7 linked regions of the Mus musculus genome follow. The protein of the gene in region 2 interacts with the protein of the main gene of each other region in a biochemical or structural test. Links are inferred from orthologs where the notes say so. Each region holds a gene or a part of one and is shown on either strand. Other genes may lie near its edges. The genes, in order: Nudt16l1, Lrrk1, Cd2bp2, Bag5, Cwc15, Matk and Plk1.

Region 1 (3,881 bases), on a different chromosome or scaffold from region 2:
TGCACATGCAGGTGCCATACTGAGGTCTGATCTTACAGACAAGGTCTGGGGTGCCTAGAAAATGTACTCTTTGAAAATAAAAATTAGATGCAAGTTGGTGGGGGCTCATTTGTGATCACTTGACATGTATTCCTGCCTGACACCAGAAGACCCTAGTAACCCATGTGTGGTTACTTCTGCTCTGTATCCTTAGCTGTGGGGGTCACTCTTGCTCCAGGGTTTCTCCCCTGCTCTTGGATTGTTGCTAAGCCCTAAAGTGGAGCTGGCACACAGCCTTCCCAGTGTTTCTGCACCAGGCTATAGGACTGCCAGCAGTGGTGGTCCTGTCCCATGGTGGCACTTCTGTTGTCCTTCTGCACACTAGGCCTGTGCTTTCAGCTCCACCATCACCACAAGAGCTCAATTCAAGCTGCCACTGAGATTGGTTGCCCTCAGAGGCTGGCTGTGGTCTGGGGCCCAACCTCCACACACCTCAGAAAGATGTGGCCATGGCACTCAGAAGCAACATGAGCATCAGAGGAATGGCTTTATTATTGTCTTCTTCCTTCCTCAGCTTCACAGAGGCCCCCATGGGGAAAACAAAATCATGTGGGGCACAGCCATTCTGAAACCAAACCACAGTTCATACACCAAGAACAAAATCTAACAGAGAAATCCAACAAGCACCCAAATAAACATCTTGCCCCACGCTGGGTCAGGCTCTGGGCTAAGGGAAAGAAGGGTTGGTCTAACGTGGGTCATCTCTGTTGGGCAAAACCCATGACCAGTCCAGGATCTGTGTTCCAACCAAGTGGTTGCCTTCGAAGAATGGGCTCTAGCTGGGACTCCACTAGTCATGAACAGACTCGCACAGGACAGTTTGAGCCCTGGGATGGGTGAGAGCATCTTCAGCTTGAAAAGTTAGGCCCAGGCCCACCCCCACTGACCAACCTGAGAGTGTAGCTAGGTCCCAGGGACTGCTTGGGACAGTAATGATGAACAGCTGCCTGCATGTCCCTTGCAGTCAGAAGGGATGCAAAAGCAAACACACTAGAAGGCACGCGTCTCGGGAATTCCAGGGCCTGTGGGCAGAGACAGCCAAGGGAGGGCAGGGACCTGCACAAGAAGCACCTCAGGATGAGGGCGGGAGCAGCTTTTCTAGAGCCTTCTTCTGCTTCTCTGTTGCTGAGGCCAAGGCCTCGGCCAGCTTTTCCGAGGGCATCATGTTGAGTACCTTAAGGGCAAATAGAAGTTGATATTTGGCAGTGCTGACGAAGGCGTTGCTCAGAAAGTTAGGAAAGCCGCCTACTCGATCCTTCTGTGTGTACAGTGGGACCCGTACAAGGCCCAGGACCTGTGGGACAGAGGGCATGAGTGGGGCTGGGCTCTTCTTGTAGAGGCAGGACCCTGGCAGAGATGCCTGTCAGCCACCAGTTTGCCAAAGAAACAGGGGAGACCCAGGCAGGGTCTGGCCAGGCCAGGCTGGTGGCAGTAAAGTGCCTTCTCTCCAAGTTCCAAGGTCAATCCTATGCACTCCCCACCCTGTCTGGCAGCAACCCCCATGATCCCTGGTTTCACTCCATGCCCCTTAGACCACAGAATCTACAAATCCCCCAATTTCCTCTCAGGAGATAATCCCAAACACTGCATGCAACCCGGTCTTTTTGGTCTCAATTTCCCAAGCAGGCCCTGTTCATCCCTTCCAGTGACCCCAAGCCCCACTCCCAGGATTGACAATGGCAGACAAGGCAAATGAAAACAGCCCATGATCCAGATCCCAAGTCCCTTTTCCCACCCAGCATAGCCAGGGTGAGGACCCTGAGGGGTACTTGTTACCCAAGGTGCCTTCTGTGGTGCCAGAGCCAAACCTCAGGAGTGGGAATGGGGGCGGGCCCCAGGCAGTAGCCCCACCTCCAGACCGTGGTCCCGTGAGTGCACAGCGCTGATCTCCACAGCATGCAGTTGTTCCAATGTCAGCTGCCGTGCGTACAGATGTGCCACCACACGGTGTGGACCCTCAGTCAGGTGTGAACTCAGGTAATCAGCTTCGGTAAGGCGTAGGCCGCCCAGGCCCAGGCCCAGCACCCGATTCAAGCCATCCTCCAGCGACCAGAAGCGCCGGTCCACGAAACCCCCGGGAAAGCCTAGCAGCCCGTCGAAGCGCATCTGCATCTGCAAGGTAAGCTTGGTCAGGACGTGGGGTCCACTGGGCGTCCCAAGCCTGTATCCGCCCTGCTTGCCCGCCCAGCTCCTCACCAGCACTGAGAAACGCATGGGGATACGTCCGAAAAGCTGCCCGGGGTTGGCGGCGTATAGCATGGCGTGGCATGAATGACTCCAGCCGGGCCCCAAGCGCATTGCTTCCTCCCGACTGATCTGTTTCAGCTCCGGAACCGTCGTGGTCGACATCTTGATGTGCTCCAGGCCCACTGCCCAAACGAGCATGCGCGACCCCGCCCACAACACCAGACCCAATCCTCGTGCTTCCACGTGCATAAAGCCCGCCTCCACCAGTCCTGTGCTTCTGGGGTTGAACCCAGGAAAGACCCTGGCGGAGGCGGGGTGGGGTGGGGGTGGAGTTATGTAGTTCGCCACCCTCCAAGTTGCAGAGGAGACCCCACAACCACCAGAAAACTACAGCTACCAAGACGCACCGCACGGAGACCAGGTTGTCCTAAGCAGGTAGGTACACTGATTATCAAGACGTGTCAGTCTCCAGTCCCGAACATCCCTGAGAGGGCATCTGAAGTCTCAATATCCACCTCATCCATGAGGGGGCTGGTTTTCCCCTGAGCTTCACCCAGAGCTTGTGGCTCCACTGCCTATGAAATCATGCCTTAAAAAACTTAAATGTCTAAGTGACTCCAGCTCAAGTGACAGGGGACCTAAGCCTTACTTATGCTTTGCCCCTCTCTGGCACATTGATTAATGTTCAGTAAACATCACAGGAGTTGGGATGGGTATAAGAACTAGGACCACCTGCCCACCTAGAGGCTAAGATTCATCAATTGCCCAGTGGAGGTGAGCCAAATTCCAAGTCCAGTTTCAGACACAGCAAGCAACAAAATAGCAATAAACCATTGTCTATGTTTGGAGGGGGCACTCACTGCCCCTCTCACACAAGCAAATGAAGGCAGCAACAAAACCTGTCAGGAGTTCTGCCAGAAACCACTCTAGTGTCCTGTCACTACACCAAAAGCCAACAATGCTGCTGCCTACATAGTGCTGTGCCAGAACAAAGGCACACATAGAATATTGCTGCATGATTTTATTACTATAAATATACAGTAAAAATGAACCCAAACTAGCCAATCAGAGTACATCAGATGATAGTACATGTGAGTCTGAGACAGGTAAGTGTGTAGGCTGCACCCCATCTTTCAAAGTACTGGCACCAGTGCCACGGCCAGAGGCCAGGATGTTGGCAGGTGAGAAGTGGGGGAGTGAGCATGCACATGCTGACATGTGTGCACATATGTGCATTCAGCAAGAGAGAGAGATGGATGTGCAGAGCTGTGCTAGGAAGGAGCAGGGTTAGAGTCAGAGCTCGAGCAGCCCTGAGCCTAAAGGGGTCTCCATGCACTGCTACAGGCTGTCACCTGGGTGAGTGGCAGGGCAGTTCCTTAAGCTGAGGTCCCTCTACCAACCCACCAGGGAGCTGCACTGCCTGGGGCACCTCTGCTCTGGGGCCACTCATGGGCCACTTCTGCCTTGGAAACAAAGTATCACTAGGAGCCTGCTTCTAGGTGGGCTCTGACAGGAGCCTTAGACAATCAATCAGTAAGAAGCTTACAGGCCAGGTAACTGGCAACGGATCTGCTATGGAAGCTGCTCAGGCTCCTCCCTGGCAGGTGGTGGGCAGTGCTGCCCTGCAAGCACAAACCGCCACCTTGGCAGCGGGT
Region 2 (3,500 bases):
TCCTGGGTGGTGGTAGCCCTGGAAATCTTAGTGAGGCCACCATTATCCTAAGACCCCATTCCTTCCTTCCTTCAGAAGACTCCGGGCTGTGGGCTTACCTGTCATTGGCAACAGGGAGGGCAATCTCGAACTTGGCAAGGAACTGGAAGTATTGCTCCTCAGTCTGCTGTGTGAAGCCTGTCCCCACCAGCAGCATCCTGAGGTCTTCCGCTTGGATCACCCCATTCTTTGCCACTGACCGCGAGCCCTTGATGTTAAAGATCCTCTGCAGGCATTCAGAGAGCCAGATGGGATCCAGGAAGTAGAGGTTCCTTAGGCCATGGCTCGTGTCTGGAAAGTGCAGCAGGGTCCCAGTTTCTATGAGGAAGCTGATGGCTGCCAAGAGGGAGGGAGGAAGCTGTGTCAGAACCACATGGGACCAAAGGGGACTCAGGAAGAAACCAAGACTTCTGGCATGCCAGGCCCATGATGACATTTACTCATGATCCTCCTAAAGCAACCCGTGAGGCGCTTCCACAGTTCTGTGTAGGTACTTGCTGAGCTGCATGCAAAGTGTGAGTGGTCCCATGTACATGTTCCTAACCGAGCTCTTATCCCGTGAGTGTCCCTTCTATGGTCTATTGATTGCCATGTTATCTGGGAGGTAATTTTGCTGTCTAAAATGACCCTCCAAAACAGGGCTAAAAGGTTGTCTAGTGTTTCTACGTACAAGACTGTGATTTACAGAGAAAATATGTCATTAGATAAACAGTGTTGAGGCAGAAATTATATAAAGGCCACTGCATGACCTAATATTTCAGCAATACCTGTTACATAATTAGATAAGGTGTATGTGTATATTGTTAACTTGATACAATCAAGAATCACGTAGAAGAATTGCAATTGAGGAATGAGCTAGATCAGTTTGGCCTGTGGGCGTATCTGTGGGAGACTACCTTATTAATTGATATAGCCCATTGTGGGTGGCACCATTCCCTAGACAGGGAATCCTAAGTAGTATAAAAAAGAAGAAGGCTAGCAAGGAACTGAGCAATCAGCCAGCAGGAGTCCATTTGTTTCCCTTTCCTCTTGACTGTGGATGTGATGTGATGTGATGAACTTCCAGGATTTCTGCTTTGACTTACTCATAGTGATGGACTGGAACCTGGAATTGTAAGCCAAGTCAACCCTCTCCTCCTCTAAGTTGCTGTGGTCAGCATATTTTATCACACCAAATGAAAGGAAACCAGAACAGAGGCATATGTGAAACAAGGTTATTGACTGCTTCATTGATGCCAGTGTGACTAGAAGCAGACAAGAACCTAACCTTATCTTCCTCCAGGAGCAATGGTCTGTATCTGCCAACGCAGTAGCCATAGCGACATTTTAGATGCTAACTACCATGAACAATAAGAACTGGTTGTAATTGTTTAGCCTGGACCAAAGTCCTGGAGGGTGGTGACCAGTTTGACTTTTGCCTGTCGTGCATCCTCTGCAGAACAGCTGCCATGTTCTCTGTCCAAGGAAAAAGGGGCAGGTGGAGGGATGGTAGGGGTGGGGTAGCAAGGAAAAGTGGAGGGAGGCAGCACATGGGCAGGCAGACTCCAGGCAGTGTTGAGTGCTGTCACGTAAACCTGCTAGCCTGCTGTGCTGAGGGTCCAGGTGGAGATGTGATGAACAGGACCCTCACAGATGTCTCACCCCACCCTCCGCCAGCCTTCCGGTCCCCCATACCAATGCCTGGGTACCCACTCCTGGCCTACCAGACTGCAGGTCTTCATAGTCTTTGATATCATTGCCAGGCGTCTGCTCTACCAGCTGGTCCAGCTGCCTGTCCGTCAGATACTGTACTTGGTCACCCAGACTGCGGCGCTGTTGCTCAGCCAGCACGGCCTCCTGTAGGCTTATGTAGCTCCTGGGGATCTGGGTGCGGGTGGGGCAAAGATGGGCCTATCAGGTGCCAGGGGTGCGTGCTGCCTGCACCAACACTCCCCACCATCGTCCTCACTATATGGTCCTAGGACCAGAGGATGTGCCTTTACAGCATTAGAACTGCAGACACATCTCTGAGCATGGCTTTGCTCTACCTCTGTTGGGGACACACACACAGGGTAACGGCAGATCTAGTGATGCCAGGACTATTGTGATGGCCAAGGATCCTTCCCTGCCCCCACCTGGCACTACTGACCTTTAAACACACCCATGTGCCTTATAGCAAAAGGGGGACGGAAGTGTGGACCCCAACAGTGGAAAGGAGGAACCTCTGACCTGATGGGATGCGGGGACACTCACCAGCCTGCCGGCGAGTTTTTGACAGCCGATAGTGCTACCCACATCCTTCATGTTGCACGTGACGTGGAAGATCAGTTGCCGCAGCCCCTCCTGCCCTTCCAGATTCTTGCAGGAGATCTCACTGTATGTGCAAACACTGGGGCTTAATCAACAGACCACCTCTTTGCTTCGGGGGCACATAGCATCCCTGTTTCCCTGGAGATTTGTCCCAAATAGCCACAAACCTCGAGAAGTCATTGAAAGAGAGACTAGGAAGGAAGGCTTTGGAGGCCTTTCTCTGTGCACAGCCCCATGTTGGATGTCCTACAACATGCTGCTTTGGTCTGTCTTCCCAATAGGCTGAGTTCACAGGGGAAGAGGAAGGCCCAGAGGTACTGGGCCTCCCAAGGGTGCCAGCTTAGAAAGAGACATACATATTGGGGCTGTGACTATGAACCAGCCAGCAGTCCTGTTATTAAAGACCCTTCCAAGTCTTTCTTGGGGGCAATACCAGGAGTCCCTCCAAATCCTGGTGCTGTATTCTGACTGACAGGCCATCCTGACCTGTGCACAGCACTCATGCCGTCACACCCAGAGTGAGGGAATCCTAGAGTAGCTGCAGCAACACACGCTCAGGGATTCTCACGTCTGTTACTGAGCCTCAGATTCACGGCCTGAGCATCACAGCCCTAGCGATGTGGTGGCTACTGACAAGAGGTTAATTGAGTGACACACCCGGGGTGGCTAGTCTCCTTAGCACCAGCCCACCCTGCTTCACAGTCTGCCGCTGCTTTCAGACTCAGCAGTTGCTCTCAGTTCTCGTGAGCAGATCCAATGCAAGGACTGGGATGCTGGTCCGTGATCAGTGATCTGAAAGTACTGTGGATGGTGCTCAGGTTCACGTGTCTCTGTTCCGTGGGAGCTGTGTGCTCTTGGCACTGGCCCTTATGGGAGGAGAGGGCCCAGGAAGGAAAGAAGGACAGTTCTGGAGTCTGGAAACCCTGTCTCTCTAATCATCTAATGGGTTATCCCTTGCTTAGGGTGCCATCCTCTCTCCAGAGGAGCCTGGCTCATCCCCATGACAGATTCCAGGCAGGATGGGATCTTAGCGAGCGAGAGAAGTAGGCAATACTCACTGCAAGTGTTTGAAAGTGATGTCCGGGAAGCCCGTAGCCCTGGAGCCCGATGGCGAGCGGCAGAGGGCCAGCACGTAGGCACGCAGGGTTGCTATCCTCTCCACTCGGAACTTA
Region 3 (4,008 bases), about 61 Mb from region 2:
TAGATTGGGCTGGGTTCTTGGTCAGCAGCTTGGTGCAGTTCCCTGGGCGTCTAGGGTAGACTAACTGCCTGGGGTTCATCCCAGCAGGTACACACAACCAAACTGCGCAGCTCTTGTTTTCTGTGGCTAGATCTTTGCCACACACCCTCTACTCCGGGTCAGGATGATAAAGGTGTGGGCTTCTGTGGCCGTAAAGCTCCACTTGGCACTTCTCAGCAGAAAGGGGATCAGGGTGTGTGGTCTCCAGGTAGAGAAAACCCCCTCCGGATGAACCAGCAGTGCTGAGAGCTGCTTTCTTCAGGGTCCTGTCTGTAGCAAGATGCCCTCCTGGTCTAGAACTTGTGTTCTGTACCCACAGAAGTGAAGTTTCATGATTCACAATGGGAGAAAACCCTGGAGGAGAAAGGCGTGGTCCATCTGGCTGCCCTCTTCCAACTCTAGTAGGATCACCGGAGCTATTTAGCCGAGGGTGGGGACGGGGGTGGAGGCGTTGAGGTTTGAGTTGTTCCCCAGAGCTCCAGATCTAAACCTCACTATTGGGGAAGATCTCACCTGGCCCCAGCTTTGCAGGAGCTGGATCCCAGCCCTTTGGCAGTTTGCTAAGGGATGAGGTAGGCTTCGTGTAACTGATGGGCTTCTGCCTGGTTACAGGCCACGGACGGAAGCCAGTGGCACCTCCTGTGATGGTTGTCCCGCTACAGAAACTAGGAATTAAGTGGGAGAATAGACATGGTGCAAATGACTCCTGGGTTCTAAAAGGGCTTGGTTTGGAAGGTGCCCGAGCGCTTATAATCAGAAGCAGGACTCAGAGAGAAGAGCAAGACTTTCTTTAAAAATAGACGGTCTCATGTTGTATCCCAGACTGTCGTCAATCTCGCGACAATCAATCCTGTTTCAATTTCCCGAGTGTTGGGACTGCGTTAAGATCGGAAGCCCGGGTGTCTACTGAAGGCCACTAGGCGTACAGAACCCTATCCATACATGCAAACGGAAGCCCGAAGCCTCTGTTCGGCCTGTGCCTCTCCATCCAGGCCTTGGGAACCTCTTAGCACACCACGTCCTTATCCTCACTGTAGCCTCCATCGTAGAGGAATAATAAAACATTTCCCGCCATCCTCAAGTCCCGTGAGGCAAGGACGTAGTTCACGCGAGTCTTTGCAGGTCTTGCGTCACTTCCTGCCGCGAGTCGGCCTTGGCTAATGGTATGCATCCGCCCTTTTTGAATAGAAGTGAAGCCACTTCCGGGTCCTATGCCGGTCTCCACGGTTTTTTTCCGGGTGATGAAGGCGGGTGCCCCGGATGTAATACCGGCGAAAGCATCTTTCCTTTTCTTCCCCGCCTGACCCTGGGTTCCTAGGTGAGCACCGGCGGGTAAGATTGTTTGAATCCCCGCGGGTTTGCTTCGCCTTTAGTTTGTACGCCAAGGACATGGCCGAGCAGGTCGCTACGTGGTATTCGGGGATCTAGGCAGCTCCAGCTCTTGGGTCCGACCGGCCTCTGTGAGCACTCGGGTGGGAGAGGTGGTTGAGTTCGGTAGCTCCGGACTGGTAGGGGAGTGGTGACGTAGGGGAACCTGACTCCCCATCCCCGGGTGGGAATACCCGCAGGGTCCACGCGGGGGCGGAGATCCTTCCCATCGCCTCTCCTCCGGGCCTCAGAATTGCCCAACCAACCCCGGACGTCGTGCCTGCTAGTTCTCTCAGATGCTTTAGCGATCTGTCCTCGCTCACATTTACCAGGAAAAATGTTGGTGGCCCCTGCACTCCCCCGCGGTCCTCTCTCCTTACCTCACTTCCTCACTACATATCTTTTTCCGAGGTCCAGCTGGAGGAAATCCACAGCCAATCATGCCAAAGAGGAAAGTGACTTTTCAGGGTGTTGGAGATGAGGATGGTGAAGATGAAATCAGTGTGCCCAAAAAGAAGGTGAGATGGCCAGATTTCGAATTTCCGTGGAGGACTGAGAGGAAAGAAGAAGGAGAAATCTGATGGGAGGAAAGCCGGGAAGCCAAGGAAGTGTTAGTTTTCCCCGGCGCACTGGGTTTGGAAAGATTTGTGTACAGATCCTGGAGTATCTGGGGAACTACCCAGTTGGCTGCATTTCTCATTTGCTTCGGCCTCCTCACAGCTGGTGGACCCTGTGGCTGCAGCAGGTGGTCCTGGGAGCCGCTTCAAAGGCAAGCACTCTTTAGACAGTGATGAAGAGGATGATGATGAGGAAGGGTCCAGCAAATATGATATCCTGGCCTCAGAGGATGTAGAAGGTGAGCTATGTCCGAAGCGTTAACTGAGTTGGGGGGACAAGCCTTCAGGATGGAGGTGGGAGGTGTGCCTGCTTCCCTTTTGCGTGTCTAGCATGCCCCACCCCCAATGTCTTCGGTGCAGGTCAGGAAGCAGCTACTCTCCCTAGTGAGGGCGGTGTGAGGATCACACCCTTCAACCTGCAGGAAGAGATGGAGGAAGGCCACTTTGATGCTGATGGCAACTACTTCCTGAACCAGGATGCGCAGATCCGAGACAGCTGGCTGGACAACATTGACTGGGTGTGGCCCAGGGACTATTCTGGCTGAGGCCTGGGAGTGCAGGTGCAGGGCCTGGGCCCTGGTGGAAGTTTGTAAGAAATTCTAATTATCTTTTCCTTGTAGGTGAGGATCAAGGAACGGCCCCCTGATAAGCACCAGGTTTCAGACTCGGAGGAGGAAGACAGCCTGGGTCAGACTCCAATGAGCGCCCAAGCACTCCTGGAGGGACTTTTGGAGTTGTTGTTGCCAAGAGAGACAGTGGCTGGGGCCCTTAGGCGGCTGGGGGCCCGAGGAGGAGGCAAAGGGAGCAACAGCAAGGGGACTGGACGGCCCAATTCCCCCCAGCGGCTAGACCGGCTGTCTGGGTTAGCTGACCAAATGGTGGCACGAGGCAACCTTGGTGTGTACCAGGAAACAAGGGAACGGTTGGCTATGCGACTGAAGGGTTTGGGGTGTCGGGCCCAGGGATCCCATGACCCCACACCTCCACCCTCCCTGGACATGTTTGCTGAGGAAGTAGCAGAGGGTGAACTGGAAACCCCAACCCCTACCCAAAGAGAGGGTAAGTTTGGAGGGCACGGGTGGGGGGCAGTGTGGGCTGGAGACTGAGTGCTTGAGGCCCAAGTATCGTTCATTGTGTTAGAGGCAGAGTCAGCAGGAGATGGCCTGATGGATGTGATGTGGGAGTATAAATGGGAGAACACGGGGGACGCCGAGCTGTATGGACCCTTCACCAGTGCCCAGATGCAGGTGAGCTGCCCCCTGCCGCGTCTGTCCCATCTGTCCAGCCCACCTTCTGTCAGCTTGCCTGAGTTCTGTCCTCTGTTCTTACAGACGTGGGTGAGTGAAGGTTACTTCCCGGATGGTGTTTATTGTCGGAAGCTGGACCCTCCGGGCGGCCAGTTCTACAACTCCAAGCGCATTGATTTTGAGCTGTACACGTGAGCCCGCTAAGGGCCCCATGCGGCACGGCAGCCCCTTCTTTCTTGAACTTGGCAGAGGAAGCCCCAGCTGCTCTGGGCAGTGAGGATATTGGAGGCCACTTTAAAGCCATTGTTTCCCAATAAAAGCCTTGACTGTGCGATGGCCAAGAGCCAGGGCTTCTCCATAGCTCCTTTTGGCTTCACCTGGTAGGTCCCTGAGCGTTTCTTCCCGAGAGACTTCCTCACTTGCTTCTCTCTGGTGTCTTGGACCACCTCAGTTTTTTTTCCCACCCTTGGAGGCAGAGGTAGGGCCCATCAGATGTCCTGTGACTTTCCTACGTAGACAACTTCTACTTGCTGTGTAAAATTCCCTCCATCACTCTTTTCTCCAGTCTCCCTTGCAAGTCCCTGTTCTGCTGATCTTTGACTTTTAGGACCTCAAATGCTCTGTCCTGGCAGCTCCCTTGTAGCTGGGACATTGGGAAGACCTTGAAATCCTATTGAGAGATTCTCTTAAACATGCATTCTCTTCTTCCATAGTCTGATTTTTCTACCCCTCGCCCC
Region 4 (4,088 bases), on a different chromosome or scaffold from region 2:
GCAGCTCTGTCTTGGCCCTCAGGTACAACTCAGGAGGGCTCTGCGCCTGGAGAAGTTCATTTTTTATCTCTCTCATCCTCTTGAGAACATTTTCTATTTTTATAATGGAATGGTTCTGTCCCAGGTCAAATGCATGTGTACTGTCAGCTTCCTCTTCTAAGTCTAGGTATTTCAGTAATTTGTTGATATCTTCCACCACCTCCCTCCGATAATTTCTGATCTCTGTACGCCCACACACATCTAGAGCATCTAAGTCAGCAATCAGTCCTGACAGCACGCAGGATAAGTGCCTGCAAGTCTCGGAACTGTCCACGCCCATCAGAAGTGCGATCAGCGTCCCTCTGGCCTTGTTCACCTCGCACATGACAGAGTTGATTTTGGCCACTGAAGGATGCACATCCTCAGACAGTGGCAGGGACGGCTGCTTCTTCATACAGTCCTCAATAACCTCCTGTACCGCGCAGATCTTGGTGAGCGTGCGGTACCTGGCTTTCCGCAAGGAGACCTTCCCTCCGGTCTTCACGTGCGTCAGCCTCAGAATGATGTCCTGGATGCCTTCCTCAAACTCGTCAGTCACACAGTTGCCTCCGCTGTAAAAGGGCACAATCTTGTCTTTCACAAGGGCCTGAGCCTCCTTAAAGATATTCTGGATTTCGATGCGGTGTGGGTGGTTGGCATTCTGCTCCAACTCCTTGAGGAGACGTTCTGTCTCCTGTGCCGCCCGCTTCCTAGCTTGCTGGATATCTCCTTTTCCTTCCGTATCCACAGAGTCAATTTCAAAAAGTTGTTTGGTCAGAATCCTCTCCAGCCTCTTGTAGTTCTTGTCATCCGACAGGCCGCTGAAGCCGACCACTTGCGGCTCTATAGCCTTTACTTCCCGCTGGATCTCCTGAAGCCTACTAATGGAGGGGTGTTGGTTTCCCATATCCATACTTCTGTGTTCAGTTTCACAAGCACTGAAAGATAGCAAGAATGATAACGTATTAGTCTCTGCAGGACAAGAACCCACTCTAAACACTCCTTCTTAGTACACTTGTTAAAAGGGCTCATTCGGGCTGTGGAGATAATTTTTCATCAAGTGTCCAAGCTGGAATTCCAGAACACATGTGGAAAAAAAAAAGCTGGGGCGGAGCTGGAGAGAGGGCTCAGTGGTTAAAGGTGCTGGCTAGAGGACCTGGGTTTGATTACCAGCACTCACATGACAGTGCATGACCACACAGGTAACCCCAGTCCCAGGGCATCTGATTCCCTTTCTGTCTTCAGAGGCACCAGGCACACAGTGATGCACAGACATCCATGCAGGCGAAGCGCCAACGCCCATGAAGTAAAACAGAAAAGCCAGGCAAGCCAGTGCCGGGGAGACGGCGATAGATGGATCTCGTGATTCACTGGCCAGCCCAGGTTAGCCTAACCGAGGACCTTCAGGACCATGGGAAGCCCCACTTCAAAAGCCAAAGTCAAAGGACACCAAGGAAATGATGGTGGGCGGGCAGGGAGGCCAAACTCTGGCACCTGGGCATGCACCAAAATACACAAAAGGTTTCGTCAAAGGTGTAAAAGGTTGCTTGAGGAAAGGGAAGATGTGACATGTCAACTCCCTCTCCTGAAAACAGCTGGACAGGAACAAAACAAAGCAAGCTCACCGGTGTGCTGGTGTATCCCTACAATCCTAGCGTCGGGGATACAGAGGAAAGGGAACTACGAATTCAAGATCACCATGGGCTACTTGGTGACCCTAAGAATTCAAAGCAAAACGGAAATAGGGGAACACGGTAGGGATTTGAACGACAGACAGAAGGTCCTCATGATCCAGCCTGGGTGGATGTCTAGGCCTATGAATTCTGTCTTAAACCATGAGAGCGAGCTGCGTACACTGCCATTCTAGTCAACCCACCAGGTTAGCAACACAATTTCCTTAGATCCCCCCCCCCCCCATCCTAATCTACTCTCTGGAACCAGTTTGGAAGTTAACAGTAGCTCTTCCACACTCACAGGAGCACCATTCGTCCAGACAGCTAGCTAACTTTCTACTTTTCTGAAAGAGGAGCTACGAAACTTCCAAATCCTCACCCTGACTTCAAATACCCGCCGCCCAAACCTGCCGACTGCGATTAACTCGGTCACTCGCCTCCCGGTATGTGCGCTTAGAGCATTTCCCACGCTCTCAGGTTTCTGTCAAACAGCTCACTTCTGGCGGGCAGGCCACAGAACTCAGTCCCCGGGAGGGTCCAAGCCCGGCCCTCGCAGAGCTTTTACCCCGGGAGGTCTGGGCGGCGGCGGTCTTGGCTGCCGCGGGGGGCTGCGAGGTGGGAGATCGGCCCTTCACGGGGAGCGGCACCGCAGCGGTGCCCCCAGCGGCATCCCCCCTCGCCCTTCCCGGCTAGGTCTGACCCGGGCAGCCGGTGAAGGGGCCGGCGGAGGCGGCGGCAGCTACTGGCCGCGGCGGCCGCTCCCGGGTCTCGGCCCGGCCGGACGCGCCGCCGCCTGACCTCACAATGGGCGCGCGGCGGGCGCGGGCCTGCGCAGCGAGGGCGGCGGAGCGCCCGAGGCCGGGAGAACGGAGCTCGCGCCCTCGCCCCACGCTCACCTGGGCCGCACGCGCCATCGCGCCCCGCCACCTACACTTCCGCAGCGTTGTCGCCGTCCTCGCAGAGCGGGCCCGTCAGCAGTGAGCCCGGGGAAAACTTGTCCTCTCCTCGTCCCGCGCGGGCCCCGCCGCCCGGCGTCCGTCCCAGGGAATGCGCACGGTCGGCCTCGCCGCGCGTCGGCTCGGGCTTTGCGACGCCGCCGTAACGCCAACCTTTCCACTGTCGCGATCCTGCCGTACGCGCGGGCCATGGCGGCTTTGCGGCCCGGAAGCAGAGCGCTTCGCCGGCTTCTCTGCCGGTCCTTCTCCGGCGGCGGCGGCGTTAGGTTGGCCCGTGAGCGCCCTACGGATCACAGGGATGCGGCGTCCAGCCGGGTAAGCGGGACGCCGGGGGCGCTGGCAGGGAGGAAGGCCGCCGAGCAAACCCACGCCGCCTGCACCTCTCCGACGGACTGATGATCACTGCCCGGGATCCGCTGTGGAGAGCGCGAGCCTTGCTTATCCCCGAGTTAATTCCCATTTGTATTAACACAGCTCTTGAAGGGTGTTCTTTCTCATTTTCGCATCGTTAAGATTAGTGTTCGACTTAAAGCCGTGGCTGACTTCATCATCCCACTTCTGTAGACTTCGCATTGTTTGTAAACGTGCACGCGATGTCAGAGATCCACAGTGCAGGTCTGCAGCAAGAATGGGCGTGAAGCCTTTTTCAAAAAAACAATTGCTGGGCTGGAGAGATGGTTCAGCTGTTAGGAACACCGAAGACAGTAACAATGCACTCACATATATAAAACTAAATAAAGCTTTTTTTTTTTAGTCAGTTGCACTTCTTTTTTTTTTTTTTTTAAGATTTATTTATTTATTATATGTAAGTACACTGTAGCTGCCTTCAGACACTCCAGAAAAGGGAGTTCACATCTCGTTACGGATGGCTGTGAACTACCATGTGGTTGCTGGGATTTGAACTCTGGACCTTCCAAAGAGCAGTCAGGTGCCCTTACCCACTGAGCCATCTCACCAGCCCTCAGTTGCACTTCTTTGCAACAGAATGCTTTGCTTAAGGAAGGCCTAGGTTGCCAGGCGTGGTGGCCCACGCCTTAATCCCAGCACTCGGGAGGCAGAGGCAGGCAGATTTCTGAGTTTGAGGCTAGCCTGGTCTACAGAGTGAGTTCCAGGACAGGGCTACACAGAGAAACCCTGTCTCGGGAAAAAAAAAAAAAGGCCTAGGTTTAGAGTCTATCAGTCATATGAAAACGCTAAGGCTGGAGGTAAAACATTAATCAGTGGCTACTAACACTTCAATGACCACTAAGCTAGTGATAGAGACTAGAGAGCTTGGTTTAAGCAATAATGAAGAGAGGGAAGGAGGGATGAGGAGAGAGAAGAGAGATGGAGAAAATTAAGAATTGCAAAATGTGCTTGCTGTGAAAATTTTCATCTCTGCTATGCTGTGTCTCCTTGCACACTTTTAGCTTTGAAGTTCTGACTACTCCAGTTTAGATTT
Region 5 (4,065 bases), on a different chromosome or scaffold from region 2:
GGCAGGAGGCAGACTGTGTAAGTAAAAGCAAGAGGCTGTTTTATCCTAAGTGTCAAAACCACTACCTGGTAATCTGAAAAAATCACTCTGTTTGTGCAAAACTAGGAAAGTCCCTATGAAAGCAATTACAAATCAAGAGGAAATGACAGTGGCCTGAAGGAGTGTGGTGACAAGCAAAGGAACTTCAGGGTAATTTTCACAATACTGGACAAGAGTGGCAGGTGAACAGGATGTGACGAGGGAAGGAAGAGGGTCTCCATCTTTGGGTTTGAGTCACTAATGTGAAAGCGGTGTCCTTTGTGTGAGGCTCAGGGCAAAAATATGAAGCTTTCACCTTCTACTTGGGGAGCGGGCACATTCGGGAGGGAGTGGGTTCTTTTCTAATTCTCTTTCTTCATTTAAAAGTTCCAAAGGAAGGACAGAAAAGAACGGAAATGTTCAATTTTAGGAGACCCTTCCACTTGAGATAAACTGGAGAACAGAATCCTCTTTACCGAGCATCGGCCGTCCCCAAGATCTCAATGATGGGGCACAAGACAACGTTGGCGAAGCCATCTTAATCCCATCTCGTGCTCCTCCTGGCAGTTAGGCCCACTGCTCCATAAATTGTCACTATCGTAAACGCTCACAAGCATCTCCCCTCACGCTACAACGCTTAATGCATATAGCTATATATCTATATATTTATATATCTTAACAAGCAATGCGACTATAACCCTTGCCTTCAAGGCTAGTGGTTTCGCAGGAATGGTACCTTTGGAAAGCTCGTGGCTGCCCCCGTACTTATTTGCGCCTTCTTCATATCCACTTAAGTGACAACTCTAGTCCCTAGGCTGCGGGGTCTACTGAGGAGCAGGAGCCGTTGGGTCGGTCAGTTGGCAAGCTCTCCTCACATCTCTCTTGCGAGACGCGGACCGGCTCCTGGCGCCTCCGTCCTCGCAGAACCGCAGCGAACGAGTCTGGGAGGGGGTCGGGAAAGGAAAAGACGCAAGAGAGATTAAGTAATTGGTTCGCAAAGGAAAAAAGATGATATTTGGGGTCGACTATGAAGCACCGGTTTCAAACGCCCGCCCCCTAAGCTGCCTTGGCTCCGCCCCTAGGCAACGTCATTCCATCTTTTTCCCGTGTCTTTGCTGATTGGTCACTGCGTCAGCCTGTGAGAGACGGTTTAAAAAAAAAAAAAAAAAAAACACACACACAACTCCGGAATTGCTTCCGGGTGTGGAGTTCGCATCTTCTCCACAGCCATTGGAAGTGCGAAGGTTTTGCTTCCGGGTCTCAACCGAGCCCCTGGTGTAAAAACTGGAAGCTCTGCATTTTGTTTCCGGTCTTGGGCCTGGCGCCCCCGGCGCCGAGATTTCTGGGAGCTAAGGGTCGCATTGGTTCATGAGTGAGTTTCGGAAGGTGCTGCGTAGGACCCCCGCCAGAGTGAGCAGCCGGGCATGGTGGTTTGTGGTTCTTGTGTGGGTGGCACCGGGGAGCCGAGTCGCCGCCGCAGCCCGTGACGATCGTACAGGCCGCGGTGCAGGGATGGTGGTCCGGAGCTGAAGCCGAGCCCGGGGCGGTCACCGGTGCAGCGCCTCAGACACTGAGAAAAGCAAAGGAGGGTGGGATGGGGAGAAACTCCCACTTCACACACGATCTGTGTGAGCAGCTGCTTAAGCTAACGGAGATTTAGTAGCCCTGCAGTTAGGCTGCAATTCTTATTTGACAGCTAAAAATGGCAAAGGTTCTCTTGTAGCCTAGGCTAGCTTCGAACTCCCGATTCTTTTGCTTTCACCTCCCAAGCTCTGGAATCACAGGAGTACCCCCATCATACCCAGTTCAGGATGGGTTCTTGATACTTGGTTGGGTGGAGTTCCGATTTTCTGAGCATCGCGGAAGTTACAGCCTTGATAAATGTTGTGGTAACTGCTTTAGAAGAAAATTGAGTCAACAAGATTCTGGGGTAATGGTTGCCCATGTAAATGTCACTGGGGACTTTAAACAAATTTTAACATAATAAGTTTGACTGTGACTTTAAAAGAAATTTGTTTTTTATTGGGTTCTTTGCTGTAGTGTGAGGTTTCTGGTAGAACAGCAAATCTTGGCCGGACAGTTACATTGTGAGATCCTATAATTAAAAAAAAAAAAAAAAAAGAATAAATTTTTTTTAAAAAAGAATAAAATAAAATCTCAGAGAAGCTAGTGCTAGTGGGATAACATTTTTTTAAGTCATTTATTTTAAAAGCTACACTACACTGTTGTGCAAGATCTGACATCATGTATGGGAATCTCATAATACTATAGAAATGTCGGCATTCCACAAATGACAGAAACGAGCTAGAAGACTTGCCCAGGGCTACCCAGCCAGAACAGAAGCACTAACTCAGATCTTCATAGTAGTTATTTATACTGAATAAGAGTTGCCTAGTAAACACCCTGAGTTTCATAATTCGGATTTTTAGGAACTTGTGTTGAAGCAAACTAAGCAATTTTGGGGAGTTTGAGAAGGATTTAAGAATAGATATTTTTGAGTTATCTGTAAAATGAAAGTATAACTTAAATTCACTTTTGCCGAAGACTAAAAGATGACAACAGCAGCCAGGCCAACTTTTGAACCTGCAAGAGGTGGGAGAGGAAAAGGAGAAGGGGATTTGAGCCAGCTCTCCAAGCAGTATTCAAGCAGAGATCTTCCCTCTCATACAAAGATAAAGTACAGGTAAGAAGGCCTTCATTTGTCTTGTTCACAGAATGGGACCAAGCCTCTCTCTATATATATGTATGTATATATATGACTTATGGTCATGTCTAAATTATAGTATTTAGGTTACTGATCTCCAAAGAGAAGTATTTCAAAAAAGTTTACAATAAAATTACGCCCTACAGGTAAAGTTGCTAGACAGTCTTCCAGCATAAGTTCCTTTGAACCAGGAATTGCTATGTGTAGATGAAGCACTCATTAGTCATGATAATCACATCAGAGAAGACGGAGCTGTAGTGAATATGGAAGTGTTGCTCTAACAGCCCTTGAATTGGTGGACTGTTTTAAAAAGCCGAAGACATGGGTTAGAGAGATTTCTCAGCAGTTAAGAGCACTGCTCTTCCAGAGGTCCAGAGTTCAATTCCTAGCAACCAGATGGTGGCTCACAACCATCGGAGGGGTCTGATGTCCTCTTCTGGTGTGTCTAAAGAGAGCAATGGTGTAGTCATATACATAAAATAAATAAATCTTTTTTTTTAAAAGCCAAAGACATTCTGTTGTAGGCAATTGTGTGCTTTAGTTTGTTGTTCTAGTGATAAGGAACACTACGAGTGTATTAACCCTCAGATTGGGATATTGTCTTATCTTCTTCCTTTTTGTTGTTGACAGACAGTTACATTCTGGATTGTCTTAAATTGTTGAAGCTATATAGGTTCTTTTCCTTGACAAGTGAGGCCAACATTTTTGACGTGTTTTGTTTTGTTTTTCCTACTTAAGACAAACCACACAGGATGCCCCTGAAGAGGTTCGAAACCGTGACTTCAGGAGAGAACTGGAAGAGAGAGAGAGAGCTGCTGCAAGGGACAAAAACAGGGACCGCCCAACTCGAGGTACCCGTACTGTCCGTCATGTCTGTCTCAGTTGTGTGCAGAAACTGTGTGTATCCTGGTAATTGGAAATAAGTAGCATTTTTGTGAGCTGTATCTCTTTGATGAATGATTAGAGATGAGAATGAGGTTTGTTCCAGTCCCATGCATTGATACTATCATGCATTGATACTAGGCCTTCTGTCTGGGACACCGAATGTAATTGAAGAGTTTTGAGAGAAGCATCAGTTATCCTTTTTGTGTTTCTACTACATGTGAGCATTGGGTAGGTCTCCTAAGATGCTGTGATCTGCATTCTCACTAATTCATTTCGTGTAAACCAACAAATATTTATCAAAGACTTACTTGCCAGTCACAGGGTGGATCCCGGGTGTCACTATGCTTTGTGTGGATTCTTTTTGCCCAAAGGTTTCTAAAATGGTTTTAAAAATTTAGTACTTGGGCTGGAGAGATGACTCAGTGGTTAAGAGCACCACCTCTTCCAGAGGTTCTGAG
Region 6 (4,139 bases), on a different chromosome or scaffold from region 2:
AGATGAGCTACTATACCTGAATTTTTGCATAGTTTAAGGTTTTGAACTCAGATCCCTCGTGTGTGCAGCAAATGATTTCCCTACTAAAACAACTCTCTGGCTCACTACCATCATTATAGCTTGACAATAACACTTCTCTTAAAAGATCTGTCTTGGGCTGGAGAGATGGCTCAGCAGGTAAGAGCACTGACTGCTCTTCAGAAGGTCCTGAGTTCAAATCCCAGCAACCACATGGTGGCTCACAGCCATCCGTAATGAGATTGGATGCACTCTTCTGATGTGTCTGAAGACAGCTACAGTGTACTTACATATAATAAATAAATCTTTTAAAAAAAAACTGTCTTGAAAAAAACAAAAACAAAAACAAGGAAATGTCCTCTGTACCCTGATCTTCTCATGCTCCTGCCTCAGCTTCTCCCAAGGCTTGGATTGCAGGCTATGTCCTTCAACCCCAAGGGCCAGTGCCGTTTCAACACATATACTTCTCAGGTAGCCCAGGCTGGCCTTAAATTGACTACGTAGCTGAGGATAACCTTAACTCCTGATCCTTCTGCTTCTGCCTCTCCAGTGCTGAGGTGACAGGCCTGTGACACCACAGTGTGTCACCCATTGAGCCCCAGTCCCCACTTTTGGATCTTTGCTAACTGTAGGTACTAGAATAAACATCTGTACAAAGTCCACTGGTAAGACAATTGGAGGAGGTCTCGCTAGGCCCGTGCCAGAGCGAGTCAGAAAGCAGTTGGTTACTGCAGAGCACTTGGACCACTACTGCACCCGTGGGGCATCTGCCGGCAGTGTGGGTGGTGGCTGATGGTGACAGGAGGGAGGGAGCCTGTGACTCAGACACTGTCATCAGCAATAGGGTCCGAGAAAAGTGGAACTTTGGGCTGCCTTGGTTCCAAGTCTCTGGGCCTCCCTGGCCAAGGACTCCTCAGTGGGTACCTGCATCTGCCTGGGGACTTGTGATTAAGGACTGTGGCTTCTGGCCGTGTCATGTCCATCAGGGTGCTTCTAGGCACCTCTGCCCAAACGTGCTTAATTACTTAATTGGGTTTTATTTGCTTTTTTTTTTTTTTTTTTTTTTTTTTTTTTTTTTTTGAGGCAAGTTCTTACTCTGTAGCTCTCTATTTTAGCCCAGGCAGGGTTCCAACTCACAGAGATCCTCCTGCTTCTGCCTCCGGAGGGCTGGGAGGATGTTTGAGTGCTCCACAGCTGGCATGTCTGAAAGTACAGGCAGACCAGGCAGGGCCGCAGCTTGCCTTGGTCTCCTTCCCGGACAGGGAGCTCCTTCCTACTCCTAGCACCTGCGCGCGTGCCCGAGCCATTCCGCGCTCCCAGCTTTCCCAGGGTGGGCGAAGGAAGGCTAGGATTCAGCGGGGACCCGAGAGCACCCGGCACTTGGTACTCAGCACTCTGCCCGGACGGAGTGGGAGGCGCAGCGGGAGGAGGTGGCAGCGCGGTCTTAGTGAGACCGGCGCTAGGACCCGCGGGGGCTCCGAGCCGGGTCCCCTCCATCCTTGCCCCAAAATGAGGAAGCCTTGCAAGTTGCTCCGAGTTGAGCCACTGGGTGCTCGACCCGCTGGCAGGGACCCTCCGAGGGTCGCGCCCTAAGCAGGTGAGCGTGTGTGCGTGGGTGGAGGGGGACACCACTCTCGAAACGGTCCTGGACCCGGGGGCGTCGGGTGCAACGGGCTGGTTTTTGTTTTATTTTGGTTTTTTTCTGGGTGCGGCGTGCAAGTCTCTGAGTGCGCGAGTCCCGGTGGTCACTGCAGGGCCCTTGTGCACCACAGGCACCAGCACAGGTGTACGCGTCTCACTGGCGCCCTTGTCGCACACACGGGGGTGGCTGGTGGCACCTGTGCCCAGATGCACGTGCGCCTCCGCCTGCGTGGCTGCCGTGCAAACCCCACTGAGTCTGAGGCCAGGAGCGCACCCCAACCTCCCGCCCTGCCCCCCTGCCAGCCACCAGCCGGGGATCCGGGCAGCCCTGCAGTGCCTGCGCTGGGATGGGGTGGGTCCCCTCAAGATGCTTCTTTGGTGACCCGTTGCGACCCGAGGAGCCAGGAGCTATACGGGAGCCTGGCCTCCTCAGGTTCCGCTTAGGGTCAGATTCCCAGGAATGACCTTGAGTCACGGCCCCTGCCCACAGCCTCCTCTGCCCACGCCCAGGAAAGAGGAAGCCACAGGCCCAGTTCTTTCTCACACACAGCCCTGGCTGCCACCTGGGCCAGATCACTCCATTCCTGACTCTGGGCCTCAGTTTCCCTTCCCGAGCAATGGCAAGGCGAAGCTCCCGGGTCTCCTGGCTGGCCTTTGAAGGCTGGGAATCTAGGGACCTGCCTCGGGTAATGATCACTGTCCCTAAAGCCAAGGGCTGCAGAGGGGCTCCACACCTAAGCCATCCAAGGGATGATTTGAGGGAGGCGCTTTGCTTCCTGGATGCTGCTGCCACCAGGCCAGACCCTGAGGAAAGAGCTGGACCTGGGGACACTCCCAGCATGACACTGCCTTCCTTCACAGGTGAGCCCTAGATTGTTCGGAGCTTGGCACCCCGCGCCTGCTGCAGCTAGGATGCCAACGGTGAGTGTGGGGCCCTGAGTCACCAAACCTTTTCAACTGTCCCCTTTTGGGGGGGAACATGCCCCTCCCCACTTGAGCAAGCACCCACACCTGACAGTCCCCAAGGACCCCTCTCCCCCCACCCGCCAAAATGGCTTCACGTGACTATAATTCTGCCTCTCTCTATAACTCTGTTTCCCTCCCCCCTTCCTTTCTGTATTAGACATTATCCCCAGGCCTCTATTCTTTATTTTAATTTATTCTTGAGACAGGGTCTCAATGTGTAGGTATGCCTGGCTTGGGACCTGAGAGTCTCCAGGCTAGCCTCAAACTCAGAGATCCACTTTCCTCTGCTACCCCCACCCCTGCCCTGAGTTCTGGGATTACAAGTGTTGGCCAGCACTCCTGGCATCATCATCTTTTAATTTTTGAGACAAAGTCTCACTGTAGCCCAGGATGGGCCTTTGGCTGGTTTGGAGTCCTCCTGGCTCAGCTTTCTGAGAGCTAGGCTACAGGCCTGTGTCTTCACTATTCCCTTGTCCGGTCTTCTATCCTCACCAGCCCCAGCTTTCTCTCAGGTCTCTCTGTCCCTCCCAATTCCCACTTGTCCCTGTGTTCAGTCCCTGACATACCTCTGCCTCTGTCTCCTTCCCAGCAGCGCTGGGCCCCTGGGACTCAATGCATGACCAAGTGTGAGAACTCTCGCCCCAAGCCCGGTGAGCTAGCCTTTCGAAAGGGTGACATGGTGACCATCTTGGAGGCCTGTGAGGTGAGAGGGGAGCTGGAGGGTAGGTGGTGTGCCTTGGGGGTGCCAGGGCCGACACCCACCAGCTCCTTCCCCACATCTGTTCCCTTCCTGTACAGGACAAGAGCTGGTACCGAGCCAAGCACCATGGCAGTGGGCAGGAAGGGCTGCTGGCGGCCGCTGCTCTGCGACAGCGGGAGGCCCTCTCCACAGACCCCAAGCTCAGCCTCATGCCGTGAGTGGCACCCTGGGGGGTGGTGTGAGAGGCTCAGCCCCCTCTACCCCTGCCTTACACAGCCCCCTCTCCACACACATCCCTACAGATGGTTTCATGGCAAGATCTCCGGCCAGGAAGCCATACAGCAGCTGCAGCCACCCGAGGACGGGCTGTTCCTTGTGAGGGAATCAGCTCGTCACCCTGGAGACTATGTCTTGTGTGTCAGTTTCGGCCGTGACGTCATCCACTACCGTGTTTTGCATCGAGATGGGCACCTCACCATCGATGAGGCCGTGTGTTTCTGTAACCTGATGGACATGGTGGAGGTGACGTGTGGGGCAAGGCTGGGGAAGGAGGGATGGAAATATGGATGGTGGCCCCAGGAACTGTCACTTCTTTCTCTAGAACTGGGGTCACCTCCCCAGGGAGCTCTATGTTCACACCAACCACCCCTCAGTTTCCATTCTACAACCCCCACTGTTGCCATGGAAACCCGATCACCTTAGCCTGGCACTTAGAGGAGGAGTCTGGCAACCTCACTGAAACTTGGGGTGGGATGGTGGGAGCGGTCCTGCAGGGCAGAGGCTCATGGCCGGCGGCCTCCACAGCACTACACCA
Region 7 (3,500 bases), about 56 Mb from region 2:
AGGGTGCTGATGAGTTGATATCCTATTGGATTTGATGCTTCCTCGGGAGTGCAGTGAGGTTCTGCATTCTGAGCAAGAATGCTGTGGAGGGCTTTGCCCTTCTCAGTGTGTCAGGGAGACCGTGTCTCTCCCACAGACATTGTTTCCTTGGTAGTTAATAAATAGCTTGCAGGAAGTTGTTTGAAACTGTAGGGACCACCAGTCTTCGTGGTAGCAATTATTACTGTAATTTCAATTTTGTTTCCCTTTTTGAGACCATGTCTCATGTGGCCCGAACTGCTTGGGTCTCACAGTAGCCAAGGACAACTTTGAACCTGTGCTCCTTCTGCCTCTATATCCTGAGTGCTAGGCTAACAGTCAGGGATGGGCTACCATGCCTAGTTCATGAGCAGTGGGGAATCTAAGTCATGTTGGACGTGTATGTACGGAGGGTAGCTCCCTGTCCTTCCCCGCAGTGCTGGACCTGGGGATTCCTAACTTCCTCGGCGGTGGAGGTTAGAATGCCGCTGTCTTATAAGTATAGTAAAGAAACTGTTCTGTAGACAGCCTCCACACTCACCCAAAGGCAGGGAACCACCTGCATTATCTGTCCCTGGGGCATTCATTTCTCCTTCATTTCCAATAGCTAAATTTAGACAGGCTTGCTTTTTACATACTCTAGTCTATAAACACTCATTTTTGCTAGGTTTTATTTTTTAACTGTGTATGGGTGTCATGCATGTATGTATGTATGTGCACCAGGTACATGTGTGATAACCACAGAGGCCAGAAGATGTTTTTGGATCCCCTGGAACTGGAGTTAGACATGATTATGAGCCACCACGTGGGTTCTGGGAACCAAACCCAGGTCTTTGGCAAGACCAGCAAGTGCTCTTAGCTGCTGAGCCGTCCTCCAGCCCCTTTTTGGCTAGTTTTAAAATCAGATCCTGAGCCAGGCGGTGGTGGCGCACGCCTTTAATCCCAACACTTGGGAGGCAGAGGCAGGCAGATTTCTGAGTTCGAGGCCAGCCTGGTCTACAAAGTGAGTTCCAGGACAGCCAGGACTACACAGAGAAATCCTGTCTCGGAAAACAAAAAAACAAACAAACAAAAATCAGATCCTGAATATTTTATTTCACACTTAAGTTCTTAATGTAGCATGGTGGTTTATTTTTTTTTAATTGAAATTTTAAGAAAAAAAATTGTGCTGTCTCACAGGAGAACTAGCACATGCTGGTCTGGGGAAACAAGCCAGTCGAGTGTAAAGCTCCCCCCTGGCCACCGTAGCCAACTCAAAGCTTTAGTGTGCATGTCATCAGACCTGGGCGGTTTGTAAGCGCACAAAAGCAGAGGGTTACAGTGAAAGGCTTCTGGGGCTTTATTTAAAGGAATCCACCCGTCTTTCCAACTTCCTGGGTGCTCACAGTGCCCTTCACTCTTGAGTTGGTGCAGTTTTGAGTCATTGGTGCCTTCCGATGGCCTCCCTGAGTGACAGCAGCAGCTGCTGTCCTGGGAAGCTAGGCTGTTGGGTTAGAGACCTCTCAGTATAACAATGCCTGCCACTCAAACTGGTGCTGACTGTGTCCCCACATCGCTGATAGTGAAAAAGTTGTAGTTGTCGCCAAAGTCCTGTGCTCCTTCCCCTAGTTTTGTGTCTGTCCAGTGACCGAGTTTTCTTCTCAGGTGTGGAGAACCCCCTGCCTGACCGTCCCCGGGAGAAAGAGGAACCGGTGGTCCGGGAGACAAATGAGGCCATTGAGTGCCACCTTAGTGACTTGCTACAGCAGCTGACCAGTGTCAACGCCTCCAAGCCCTCGGAGCGCGGGCTGGTGCGGCAAGGTGAGTGCTACAGAGAGGTCTGCGCGCCTGGGGAAGGCAGGGCTGCTCAGTCAGCAGAGCACTGGTGAGGGCCCAGACCCACGTGACCTTTGCTTTGCCCGTTTCTTATAGATCAAAATCCAGGTGAGTTAGCCTGACACCCACGGCCCCCCTTGGTGTTTCTTCTGCCTACTTCTGCACCATCTTGTCCTGTAGGTGGCTGGTAGGCCATCTCTGCATCACTGCACATATTGCTCAGGGAATTAATTCCTCCAGAGACTCAGATCAGCTCCAGCTTTAGGGCTTTTGTACCCAGTGTCCCTGCCCTGACACCCGCTGCCATCACTTCTAAACCTGACTTAATTAATTCTCTATAGCATTTCTTCCCAGCACATTTGTGTTTTTGCATCAGGGACTTGTGTACAGTTTTCTAGCTGTTCTAGCATCGCAGGCAGGGGTTGTCAGCCAACTGTCTCTCGTCACTTTAGTCTGGGATACTAGGCCTTCTACCACCCCCAGGGCGAATGATGGAGGGGCCTGTAGCCTGTGCTTCTTCTTCATCCCTGTGGTTGGAACCCGGGCTCTTCTGAAGCCTGTGGGTCTCTTTCCCTGTCCGCACCTCCCACAGCTCATGGCTACAGTAGGCCTAGAGTACAGGGGCTCACTCGTGATGAAGTGGGCCTTGGCATCCTGGGCTACAGTTTTCCATTTGGGTGTCAGGTTTGTACTGTCAGGCTCCTCCTCAGGTTTCATGGGGTGCCATGGGGAGGGCTGCTTGAAAGGAAAGGCGACGGGGCTGACCTAACCATAACCAGTGTTCTGTTTCTACCCCAGAGGAGGCTGAGGATCCTGCCTGCATCCCCATCTTCTGGGTCAGCAAGTGGGTGGACTATTCGGACAAGTATGGCCTTGGTAGGTGTCCCAGAATGTGGAATGGGCAGGGGATGGTGTAGCTGGGGGGCGGGGCGTGGGAAGAATTAAAATTCAGGTCTTCTGCATGGTAGGCAAGCATTGTACTACTGAGTTCTACTGAGTTCTTCCAAGGCCTTTGCCTGTCTCCTCCTGCCTTTCTGAGATAACCCTCCACTTACCACCAGGGTATCAGCTGTGTGACAACAGTGTGGGGGTGCTTTTTAATGACTCAACACGCCTGATTCTCTACAATGACGGGGACAGCCTGCAGTACATAGAGCGTGATGGCACGGAGTCCTATCTCACTGTGAGCTCCCATCCCAATTCCTTGATGAAGAAGGTGAGTCCTGGCTGTCGAGGGGGAGCGTGGCAGGGTAGGGGGCTGCCTCGGGGCCAGGCCCTCATTCTGGAATCCCTCCCCCAACTTTTCAAACTAGATCACTCTCCTCAACTATTTCCGCAATTACATGAGTGAGCACCTGCTGAAGGCAGGGGCCAACATCACACCCCGGGAAGGCGACGAGCTGGCCCGGCTGCCCTACCTACGAACGTGGTTCCGCACACGCAGCGCCATCATCCTGCACCTCAGCAACGGCACCGTGCAGATTAACTTCTTCCAGGTGTGCTGGGGCAGGACGCTGTGCCTGGGGGTGGCAGTGCTGTCTCCCTCACCAGCGGGGCGCCTTCCTCCCCTTTGCCCTCCCCCTGGGCACCTGTTGAGCTCTTCACTCGCTCCCTCCTAGGACCACACCAAACTTATCCTGTGCCCCCTGATGGCAGCGGTGACCTAC

What was found.
Region 1: the proteins of Lrrk1 (region 2) and Nudt16l1 form a complex in vitro, tested with the Homo sapiens proteins (2 studies listed by BioGRID and IntAct, with this or other methods). The link is inferred for Mus musculus from reciprocal best matches to the Homo sapiens genes LRRK1 and NUDT16L1.
Region 3: the proteins of Lrrk1 (region 2) and Cd2bp2 form a complex in vitro, tested with the Homo sapiens proteins (2 studies listed by BioGRID and IntAct, with this or other methods). The link is inferred for Mus musculus from reciprocal best matches to the Homo sapiens genes LRRK1 and CD2BP2.
Region 4: the proteins of Lrrk1 (region 2) and Bag5 form a complex in vitro, tested with the Homo sapiens proteins (2 studies listed by BioGRID and IntAct, with this or other methods). The link is inferred for Mus musculus from reciprocal best matches to the Homo sapiens genes LRRK1 and BAG5.
Region 5: the proteins of Lrrk1 (region 2) and Cwc15 form a complex in vitro, tested with the Homo sapiens proteins (2 studies listed by BioGRID and IntAct, with this or other methods). The link is inferred for Mus musculus from reciprocal best matches to the Homo sapiens genes LRRK1 and CWC15.
Region 6: the proteins of Lrrk1 (region 2) and Matk form a complex in vitro, tested with the Homo sapiens proteins (2 studies listed by BioGRID and IntAct, with this or other methods). The link is inferred for Mus musculus from reciprocal best matches to the Homo sapiens genes LRRK1 and MATK.
Region 7: the proteins of Lrrk1 (region 2) and Plk1 form a complex in vitro, tested with the Homo sapiens proteins (2 studies listed by BioGRID, with this or other methods). The link is inferred for Mus musculus from reciprocal best matches to the Homo sapiens genes LRRK1 and PLK1.

What each region holds. Positions count from the first base shown.
Region 1 is NC_000082.6:4,937,648-4,941,528, reverse strand, and holds Nudt16l1 (tudor-interacting repair regulator protein), read right to left. Parts: upstream 2,419-3,881; 5' UTR 2,389-2,418; coding exon 2,236-2,388; intron 2,159-2,235; exon of another isoform or gene 2,152-2,158; coding exon 1,891-2,151; coding exon of another isoform or gene 1,849-1,890; exon of another isoform or gene 1,816-1,848; intron 1,334-1,815; coding exon 1,112-1,333; 3' UTR 501-1,111; downstream 1-500. UniProt on the Homo sapiens protein: Key regulator of TP53BP1 required to stabilize TP53BP1 and regulate its recruitment to chromatin.
Region 2 is NC_000073.6:66,287,342-66,290,841, forward strand, and holds part of Lrrk1 (leucine-rich repeat serine/threonine-protein kinase 1), read right to left. Parts: coding exon 3,387-3,500; intron 2,393-3,386; coding exon 2,272-2,392; intron 1,903-2,271; coding exon 1,743-1,902; exon of another isoform or gene 376-1,742; coding exon 99-375; exon of another isoform or gene 1-98.
Region 3 is NC_000073.6:127,193,278-127,197,285, reverse strand, and holds the start of Cd2bp2 (CD2 antigen cytoplasmic tail-binding protein 2), read left to right. Parts: upstream 1-1,208; 5' UTR 1,209-1,357; exon of another isoform or gene 1,358-1,824; 5' UTR 1,825-1,847; coding exon 1,848-1,925; intron 1,926-2,127; coding exon 2,128-2,263; intron 2,264-2,384; coding exon 2,385-2,542; intron 2,543-2,644; coding exon 2,645-3,083; intron 3,084-3,164; coding exon 3,165-3,271; intron 3,272-3,355; coding exon 3,356-3,466; 3' UTR 3,467-4,008. UniProt on the Homo sapiens protein: Involved in pre-mRNA splicing as component of the U5 snRNP complex that is involved in spliceosome assembly.
Region 4 is NC_000078.6:111,710,457-111,714,544, forward strand, and holds the start of Bag5 (BAG family molecular chaperone regulator 5), read right to left. Parts: upstream 2,801-4,088; 5' UTR 2,588-2,800; exon of another isoform or gene 2,071-2,587; intron 957-2,070; 5' UTR 932-956; coding exon 1-931. Other genes in the region: Coa8 (cytochrome c oxidase assembly factor 8), read left to right, coding at 2,837-2,962. UniProt on the Homo sapiens protein: Co-chaperone for HSP/HSP70 proteins. It functions as a nucleotide-exchange factor promoting the release of ADP from HSP70, thereby activating HSP70-mediated protein refolding.
Region 5 is NC_000075.6:14,499,354-14,503,418, forward strand, and holds the start of Cwc15 (spliceosome-associated protein CWC15 homolog), read left to right. Parts: upstream 1-1,265; 5' UTR 1,266-1,428; intron 1,429-2,562; 5' UTR 2,563-2,570; coding exon 2,571-2,701; intron 2,702-3,460; coding exon 3,461-3,573; intron 3,574-4,065. UniProt on the Homo sapiens protein: Involved in pre-mRNA splicing as component of the spliceosome. Component of the PRP19-CDC5L complex that forms an integral part of the spliceosome and is required for activating pre-mRNA splicing.
Region 6 is NC_000076.6:81,255,960-81,260,098, forward strand, and holds the start of Matk (megakaryocyte-associated tyrosine-protein kinase), read left to right. Parts: upstream 1-1,339; 5' UTR 1,340-1,615; intron 1,616-1,870; exon of another isoform or gene 1,871-2,011; intron 2,012-2,081; exon of another isoform or gene 2,082-2,276; coding exon of another isoform or gene 2,277-2,345; intron 2,346-2,520; coding exon of another isoform or gene 2,521-2,571; coding exon 2,572-2,580; intron 2,581-3,214; coding exon of another isoform or gene 3,215-3,217; coding exon 3,218-3,328; intron 3,329-3,423; coding exon 3,424-3,539; intron 3,540-3,627; coding exon 3,628-3,847; intron 3,848-4,129; coding exon 4,130-4,139.
Region 7 is NC_000073.6:122,165,935-122,169,434, forward strand, and holds part of Plk1 (serine/threonine-protein kinase PLK1), read left to right. Parts: intron 1-1,662; coding exon 1,663-1,818; intron 1,819-2,631; coding exon 2,632-2,709; intron 2,710-2,894; coding exon 2,895-3,049; intron 3,050-3,146; coding exon 3,147-3,329; intron 3,330-3,452; coding exon 3,453-3,500. UniProt on the Homo sapiens protein: Serine/threonine-protein kinase that performs several important functions throughout M phase of the cell cycle, including the regulation of centrosome maturation and spindle assembly, the removal of cohesins from chromosome arms, the inactivation of anaphase-promoting complex/cyclosome (APC/C) inhibitors, and the regulation of mitotic exit and cytokinesis.